Linked DNA regions of Oryzias latipes. The protein of the gene in region 2 purifies or fractionates together with the protein of the main gene of each other region. This does not show direct contact. Links are inferred from orthologs where the notes say so. Each region holds a gene or a part of one and is shown on either strand. Other genes may lie near its edges.

Evidence for each region.
Region 1: the proteins of ptpn1 (region 2) and abcd3 purify together in Homo sapiens (affinity purification with mass spectrometry; 3 studies listed by BioGRID and IntAct, with this or other methods). This does not show direct contact. The link is inferred for Oryzias latipes from reciprocal best matches to the Homo sapiens genes PTPN1 and ABCD3.

Annotation. Positions count from the first base shown.
Region 1 is NC_019878.2:5,052,620-5,057,082, forward strand, and holds the start of abcd3 (ATP-binding cassette sub-family D member 3), read left to right. Parts: upstream 1-1,394; 5' UTR 1,395-1,432; coding exon 1,433-1,542; intron 1,543-2,229; coding exon 2,230-2,266; intron 2,267-2,347; coding exon 2,348-2,446; intron 2,447-3,391; coding exon 3,392-3,480; intron 3,481-4,463. UniProt on the Homo sapiens protein: Broad substrate specificity ATP-dependent transporter of the ATP-binding cassette (ABC) family that catalyzes the transport of long-chain fatty acids (LCFA)-CoA, dicarboxylic acids-CoA, long-branched-chain fatty acids-CoA and bile acids from the cytosol to the peroxisome lumen for beta-oxydation.
Region 2 is NC_019865.2:21,841,652-21,845,935, forward strand, and holds the start of ptpn1 (tyrosine-protein phosphatase non-receptor type 1), read left to right. Parts: upstream 1-1,227; 5' UTR 1,228-1,579; coding exon 1,580-1,636; intron 1,637-2,182; coding exon 2,183-2,273; intron 2,274-3,046; coding exon 3,047-3,147; intron 3,148-4,284. Other genes in the region: klhl12 (kelch-like protein 12), read right to left, coding at 635-692. UniProt on the Homo sapiens protein: Tyrosine-protein phosphatase which acts as a regulator of endoplasmic reticulum unfolded protein response. Mediates dephosphorylation of EIF2AK3/PERK; inactivating the protein kinase activity of EIF2AK3/PERK.

The DNA.
Region 1 (4,463 bases), on a different chromosome or scaffold from region 2:
GTCCTCTGCACCCAAACGTGTCTCTGAGCTCCTTATTTTACAGATGAAACTCTGCTTTACTGACACTGAACCCCGGAAAGACGGCTGCACGGAAAATAATCTGATTTTGAGTCGCCAGAAGGCTCAGAATCTCTTTGTTTTAAACGTATAATCCGGAAATAAAGATTCACAAAAAACTCCACATATTTCATCTTCAAACTAGGCTCCGATAAACAGACAACTACGGGGTTTTCTCCTTGTTAATCTATGAATTTTTTCCCGTAAATTTACGAGTTTTTATCTCCTAATAAAATTACTTTTTTTTCGGTGGCCATAAAACTCTGTCGTAAACTCTTAAATACAAAGCCACTAGCTCACTAACATTAGCCATAACACTGAATACTCCTGAAAGACTCAGCTTCACTGCTCTCGCGCAACATTGCAACTTTAATCTCGAAACTTTATTTCGACTTTTATCTCGACACGACGAGTTTTTTCTCCAAACTCGTCATGACGAGATTAAAGTCGACATGACGACTTTAATCTCGTCATGTTGGCCAGAATTTTTTTTCCTCACCGTGGCCCTAAAACTCCGTCGTACGATGTCCATGTTTTATGTTCCTCAAATTTTTTTTTTTTTTGGTACTTTATGTACTCACTGTACATAAATGAGGACTGCGTGGAAAAGGTTATTTCGTTTTCTGGTTGTATAGATCACTGAGGACCTCTCCTGGACTCTGAACACCACAGTGGCAGTAGGGAAGGTGACTCCACTTCCTGAGAATACTCAGGAGGAACAACTTGGAAAAAAGCTGCCAGTGACAGAGCTACCATAAAGAGCATCCTGGTATACTGCAAGACAGCGTGGTAAACTGGGTGCACAGCCGCAGACAGGAAAACATTGCATCACCGGGTCCGCCTGCCCAGCCTGGACGCCATCGCCAGCTCTCGCTATACCAAGGCAGAGGCAAACCAAATCCAGGACCGCCTCCATCCCAGCCTTAACCGTTCCAACTGCCACTGTCAGGCCAGTGCTGCAGGTCTCACAAGGCAAACAGACTGACGGACAGGTTTTTCTTCCAGAACTGATACTAAACTAAAACCAAAAAAAGACCTCTTGTACCTCTGTGTTTTTTGGTATTTTACATATGATAATTTTTGCACATTCTTTCTCTTAGAGCTTTCTAATTTTATTGTGCATACAAGAACAATAAAATAACATTCTGATTATAAATTCTTTAACATGTTCCCTTTTTAAATGAATCTGCACCTGACACATTACTTATTTTAAAGTAATTGTCATAAAAGACCATCTTCGAACTAAAGTGACGGTGGTCCTTGATTGAAATTTGAGAAGGCCCTTTTAAATAAAGTTATTTAAAAAAAGAGGGGGCGGAGCAGTTGTGGAAACAGGAAGAAGGCGGTGTCGTGTTCACCGGTCTGTGTCACAAACATGGCGGCCTTCAGCAAGTTTGTGACAGCCAGGAATTCGTCCGCGGTTGGCGGCCTTCTGCTGCTCATCTACCTGCTCCGTAAACGGCGCAGAACGCCGAAAGGTCACAGGTGAGTGACCAACACAACACTCTGCGACGGGAGACAGCTGCCGCGCTTGACGGCTTGTTGTTGGCGGCTGTCTGGGAGTGGGACATTTAGGGGTAATCGTCAAGTCGGGATTGGAGCCGGATTCAGCCTGGTTGACAGGCCGGTTCAGTTCGTCACACCGTGGTTTCGTCCTTGTCGTCAGTCCTCGAGTTATGGTCCAGGTGGCCTTCACAGGTACAGCGCGGCCCTAAAGTTCCAGCAGATAAGCCGGTCGTTGAACGTTGACCGGCTCGTAACGTCGCGTTATCTCGGTGACGGTCAGGAGGGGAAAGTTCGGGTGCTGGAACTGGACCACTGCGAACCGATGCATTGGTTCGGACCGAACCACCGAACCAGGCTTTGTTACTGTCCCAAGTATTGTTAAGCCACTTTTGGACCCACTGGACAGACGTGTGCAACCATGTGTCACCTGCTGTGGACATTTGTAACATGCTAACTCATAACTGAGCTCGGCACGCGCCGGGGCGCGTGCGTCTGTGGCTCGTGTCCTTGGGTCAGGTCGGAAGCCGGGAAACGAGCCACAGGCGTAAAACAAATCAAAACAGGTGTTTGATTAAAATAAAAGAATGGCAGAAATGTAATGAATGAAGATGTTCCTCACAGGGAAGACGTAGCAAAAACTCAGTTTGTCTCTGTTCTCCTCCCCAGTTCTAAAGGAGAGCCGACCTTGCTTCTCAACACAGAGGTTTGTTCCAACAGAGCAGCTTTTACCATATATTTTTCCCGGATGGAGCAGAATCTGACACATTGTGCTGTCTTCATGCAGAAAGATGGCAAAAGAGACAAGGCGGCCGTGGATAAAACCTTCTTCCTCCGAGTCCTTAAGATTTTGCGAATCATGGTGCCGGGAGTATTCTGCATGGAGGTACTGTCATGTTTGAGAGTATTTGGATCAGGAAAGTTTTCACAAAGGCTGATCACTAATGAAGGCTGTAGGAAACGCTGAGTCATCTTTAAACAACAATCCAGAATCACAAAAGTCGGTTTATTCTTTTCAAGCCCCAGCTTTTTCCCCACAGAGATGGAGAAGAACTAAAGAATCTTTGCTTTAAAAAAATCGATACCTAATTTAACTTCATATGCCACCCTTTTTTCCAGTATCTGTTTTTGTTTTAAGTCTTAATGTCTCACTCCGATCATCTTTTGATCTATTGTAAAATATTTCCCAGTGATCTTTTAATTAGGATGATGACGATTTTAGGCAAAATTTAAAAACCTTGTTGTTTTCTAGGATATAGTTTCTGCAGAGCGGCAGTAGTTCATCAGAACTTGTCATAGAGCAACGCCGCCTCCCCTCCCCTCCCCTCCCCTACCCTCCCTTTTCTGTTGCAGAGTGGAGCAAAGGGCTACCCTATTTTCTACATCACAAATACAATATTTTTTTCAAACTGTATTTTTTCATCTGCTCCTAAATAACAACAATTTGAATGAAGACATACTCAGAAATGCCATTTTAATCTTAATTTTGTTTATCTGTGTACTTAATGAGAAAAATGCCACAAGACCTTGTCAAAAAAACACTGTTTTCATCAGAGTGGGTCTTTAAGACTGGCCAGGTAATATTAATTTTAACTTTCTTCTGGAAAAATGGCCATAATATTCAATAATTTGCTCACCTCATTGCTGCACGTACCATAAGCATTCATGGTCTGAGATTTGACAGAAGTGTTTCTAATAGTGGAGGCAGAGCAAAACCTCTGCTGTGAAAGTGGAGATGACCAATTTTCAAAGGACAAAACCTTTGCCTTACTTAATGGTTTGCCATGTTTAATGGTTCCTCCCTGTTATTCATTGGCTGCGTTCCTCATAGACAACCTACCTGATCCTCATTGCCAGCATGCTGGTGACCAGAACCTACTGTGACGTGTGGATGATCCAGAACGGAACCATGATTGAAAGGTCTGACCTGTCTTCAGACTCTTTTTGTCCTGAGTCACGTCGTTGTTAGATGTGTGTGAACCACTGACTGTAGATGAGAACTGGACCGAGTCATTGTGACGTTACTCATAGATGATGCCTTACTTCGTGCTCTAACCAAATTAAGTTAATTTAGTCACCATTTTTTACAATACGGACGGCGCCATGTAGATGCCAGATGACGTTGGTAAGCAGTGATTGGCCCAAGTCTGTTGGAGTCATCGTTTCTATGGCAATCTCTCTCACCAATCAGGAGTGACCTTGTTAGAAGTTTACACCCTTGAAAATTGTGTTGGTAGAATCTGTCAATCAAAAGCGAGACCTCCTACTTTTATTGAGGCATCTGATTGGTCAGTTTATAACTTGAATAACTTAAACTACAGAAAAGTTTTCATTAAAAAATGAGGATTATCAAGAACAGGTTTAAAAAAAAAAAAAAAAAAAAAAAGTTATCAGACCTGAAATGCTTACTCTGACATATAGAATGACTGAGCAATAGCAGTTTATTTCCCAGTAAGCGTCTATGGCTATATCTGAATTCCCTCCTTACTTCCTACCAAATAAAAAACTAAATAGTGCGGCACTGTAGTGTCCTTGATTTAAAAGCATTTTGTACACCAGTGTGTTCTGGTGATGAAAACTTGGATGTTTTATTAAAAAAATTATTACAATACTTCTTTTTATCTTCTTCTCAAAAATAGTTTGAACACAATGGATTGTGGTCCATATTCGCAAACCTCGTGAGCATTTATGCAGACTGTTTTTTTGCGGAGACAAATTTTTAGGGCACTAGATTTTGTAATTGAAGATTTGAACAGAACTACAAAATGCTGAACGCACTATATAGGGCACTTTGTAGTGTTTACAGAGATTTGGACACAATCTATGGGATTTTGGATTCTTGGCGCCTGCTGGTGCTTCCTGTTTGGATCACCAGGGGGAAGGGGCCGCTCCAGTTCTCATAT
Region 2 (4,284 bases):
TCCTCTTTTATCATTGAGTATCAACATGACAACATTGGTGTAAAATCCCTTTTTTAATGCATACATACACGTGAATCCAATCATATACTTTAAAGACTGTATGAACAGCTACTTGCAGCAGTAGATAATAGGTGCTTTGATCTAAATTTAGTAATAAACCACTCTGACACTAGGATTTGGTAAGTTACTTGACATGTTAAAAGTTTAAACATAAGACTTAAATAACTAAATCCAATGAGTGAAACTACAAACCCATCTTTTAATGGTTAGCATTTTCTTATAAACCACGATAGAAGGATTAAAAAAAGGGCTTAGGAGTATGATGAATGAGGCTGAAGACAAAAAAACAGAGAACCAAGGAGAACAAACGTACAGTAAACACTATCAAGCACTTTCATTCATTTTTGAGGCAAGCAATTGTCTATATTTAGTCGGCCGCGGCAGACTAGCTAATTTATATTAGTATACAACTGCAGTGTCATATAAAAATCAAGAACAAAAAACATTTTTATTCACTGCAGTTTTTCCCACAATACCCGATAACAAAAGACCTTCCCCGGTTTATAACCACGATATTAATGTTAAATATGATCCCTATTAACACTGTGACTTTAGTATTGCTAAAACAACTTACCGTTAAAGGACCTGAACACTTTTTCCACCACTGGGAGGCAATAACTATAGCTACACATGGGCTAGCTAGCAGCAGTAGCCAGCGACAGCTGATGGCTAACATAGACAGACAGAAACTTTGGAAAAGAGAGCCACATGAAGTACACTGACGGCCAGAGTGAGACAGCACATAAAAGCGACACACAGTAAGAACTTCGAAAAATTGTGCGTAATACCTGTCACTGCGGTAAGGCTGATTCAACCCCTACACCTAAGTTGCTTTCCTAGCTACTGTACTAGCCTTAGCATCAAAGTCTGTCGTCCCAGCTCGTGCTGTCCGAAAAATAAATAATTACTCCATCACGGCATGATTTAAGTCAGCCTACATGCGGCTTCTGGAAGGACTTTCATGAACGAAATGTTAAAAAAGCCCCATGCTATGGCGCTAAGCGGTGTTTACAAGCAACACTTTCGTTGCTCAAACTGAAGCTTCGACCCCCTCAGATTGGACGTAAACAGACCGCTACGTAAATGTACGTGCGCGCTCCCCGTCAAGCCGGACGCTCTTCTTTCCAGAAACAAGATGCCTTCGGCGCGCACTCGCCTGTCTGTGTTACTCCTGTGGGGGTGGTAAAATGACCGCTTAAAAAGGGGAAAGAGTTGCATTAAAAGTTAAAAATCGAGTTACATCGCCAAAACAGCCAAAAGCAGTTGTTTTACTGGAGCCTAAAAACTCACTTTACTCTTTTTTAGCCACCAAGGACGTCAGCTACACGGTAGGAGGAGCTAGCAGCGTGTTTCCGCTCAGCCGCGGTATAATCTATGCAGCCGTACTAAGAATCGCAACGGCCAAACACTTGGCAGCTAATACAGGAAACTGTTCAAGTTTCATTCGTTTAATCTTCGCTGTGTTGTCGCTGTCGCATCATTGAGGAGAACAAAAAGACTGTCCGCTGGATCGTAAGCAATGGAAGCCGAATTTTTAGAAATCGATGAAAACGGGAGTTGGAACGCCATTTATCAGGTAGGAACTCTCGACATGTCAAGGTGGAAAGCAGCAATGGGTGAAGCTGTCACTTTTTGAGCCAACATTTTTCTCACTTTCGCCACGATACATGAGCAGAGTCGTACAGTTCAGTCCCCGTGTTTCTCCGTATATTTTTTTTAACTAACCGCCGGCTTTGTTCCCTGTGTGGCCGGTCCATGTTTTTTTTTCTTTCTTTTTTTTCCGCTTGGTGCTCGGACCTTTTTTTTGTTGATGGATGTGTCTGCCCGGGTCCTAAACCGGCAGCACGTCCCATGAGGCAATTCAACACATGTCATTTTAAAGCTTTAAATTATTTTTGCACCATAGCTGTTAAGTTTATGACACTTTCAGCGTTTAAAAAAGCATTTCTCAGAAAAAAATTATTCACATTATTATTTGAGAAGGATTGATAACTGTTATATGACATATTATTGATCGTTTTTTCGGAGTATTCACACACTTATGCAGTTATAAAGGACAAAAATGGCACCATTAACATTTTGACAATGTTAAACAAATGTGATTGTTTTTTTATCTTAACAGGAGATTCGGCAACAATCGTGTGAACTTCCCTGTAAGATCGCCAAGTTACCCGAAAACAAGAATCGGAACCGTTACAGAGATGTCAGCCCCTGTAAGTAACGCCTCACACATCACAACATTACAGAGTTTTTAGATGTTTCATTTAGGGGTATGTAATTTAATCTACAGCCAATATCAAATACTATAATGTTATGTATAGCAGTGTTTATCAACACATCCATCTATTTAGTCAGTGGTTGCATCATTGGTAATAATGGCTGCATTCACCAGCTAATATAAAAGTAACTGATTGAACAAAATGTTTACCTTAGCTTCTGATTAACTTACAAGCTTTCCGTCAGCCTAAATATATACATTGTCCATTTAAGTATAAAAAGTTCTCTTGTTTTACTCATACATATTAAATATAGATGGGTAAATTCCAATAATATTAGTTAATTTTGAACAGATTACCAAATATTTTTGGTGAAACTAATCAACCAATCAAAACTGTCTTTAAAAAAAAAATCATTTTGGAGGAACTATTCAGACAATGCATTCAAAATGTATTATAATAAATGAAATATAACCTCCCAGTTCAAGAGCTGAACTTCAGTGGTTTCCTCTTTTTCACATTAAAGAAGCTATGCAAATTGTGAAGCATATTTTTGCTGTTTGTATTCCCCACCTTTAGTCAGACGTGAAAATGGGGAACCTGAAACCAGTTCACGCTGTTTTCAGTTGTGCTCTGAGGTTCTGTCGTAGTCACAACGCTCACTCTCAGTTCAGAAACTCCGTGACCGCTCATTTTAAACCTTTGGAGAGCCGTGTTTTTTTACCATTTGTTGCTGATTTAGAAATACAATTGGACGTCCTTCTCCGCAGTTGACCACAGCAGAATATGCCTGCAGCTGGGTGCAAATGACTACATCAACGCCAGCCTAATAACAGTTGAAGAGGCACAGAGGAACTATATTCTTACTCAGGTATGGAAATATTCCCACAGAGTTAATGTCAAAATGATTACAGCCATGATAAAAATATCTGTTTTAACAAGACTGATATTACAGAGCAGGAGTTTCCTTATTCCTTAACAAAAAGTTTAGCTTGGATTGTTTTAAGGATGTCAAGAAGCTTTTATCCACTGTCTAACATAACTGTCTTTGTATTATTTCTAGAATCTATAGTATGTGTGTGAAAGTAGATTTTAGACCATTTTTAAAGCATTGTAACTGATAATAGAACAGGAAAGTCAGTAAGCGTGATTTAAGGCGTCCTGCGTTTAGCCTGTGTACATATCTAGAGACAGACGTGCTGACAAAACGGCAAAAATGTTAGATTCCAGTCACTTGTCAGTAACGTAATGCGACATGCACCAAACAATGGTTAGAGATATGTTTCCTCTTGTGTGAAAAGGAATACCTGCAAGGGGCTGCTATGGTTCATAAATCATTAGGGATGCACTGAATACTTTAAAACTGAATATATTTCAACGAAAATCGCAAAAGAAAAATAAAAAATAGCCACATTCAGCCTTTGGTGGGCTCAAAGTTTTGTTACTTAATGTGCATCAATGATCTTGTTTATTGTGTAAAATGTAAGTAGTGCAGAGGTATTTTAAGAACTGCAGTTTGCAGCAAAAGCGTCCAAAATTTCTCCAATTTTTATAAATATAATGAAAAACTCAACATCCACCTTTTATATTCAGTAACTATTTGGTGTTCGGCCAAGCATTTTCCTTTCTTTGTTCTGCTTCTGTCACAATTTTTTCATTTCTGTGCATCCCTAATAAACATACTTGCTTTTAAAAAGTCATGGCGCTACTGTCCTGGAAACAAAAGCGTGTGAAAAATGCAATGTTTTGCCCTATAAATGATGGTCACACGCCTGAAGAGTTTCCATCTCTAGTAGGAATGGTCTAGGCTGGCGCATCAGCGGCATGTCTTCTCGTAAAGGATCATCTACAAAGGCTCGTATTATTATTTATAAGAGAAAATATGTTTATTGCAAAATATCAAAAGTGGCCGATTAGAGGGAGGTGGAGTTACTTGGTCTAATTGCTGCTCTGTGATTGGTCCAGAACTTTCTAGTGTCAACAAGACTTGTAGGTTTTTTTTATGATC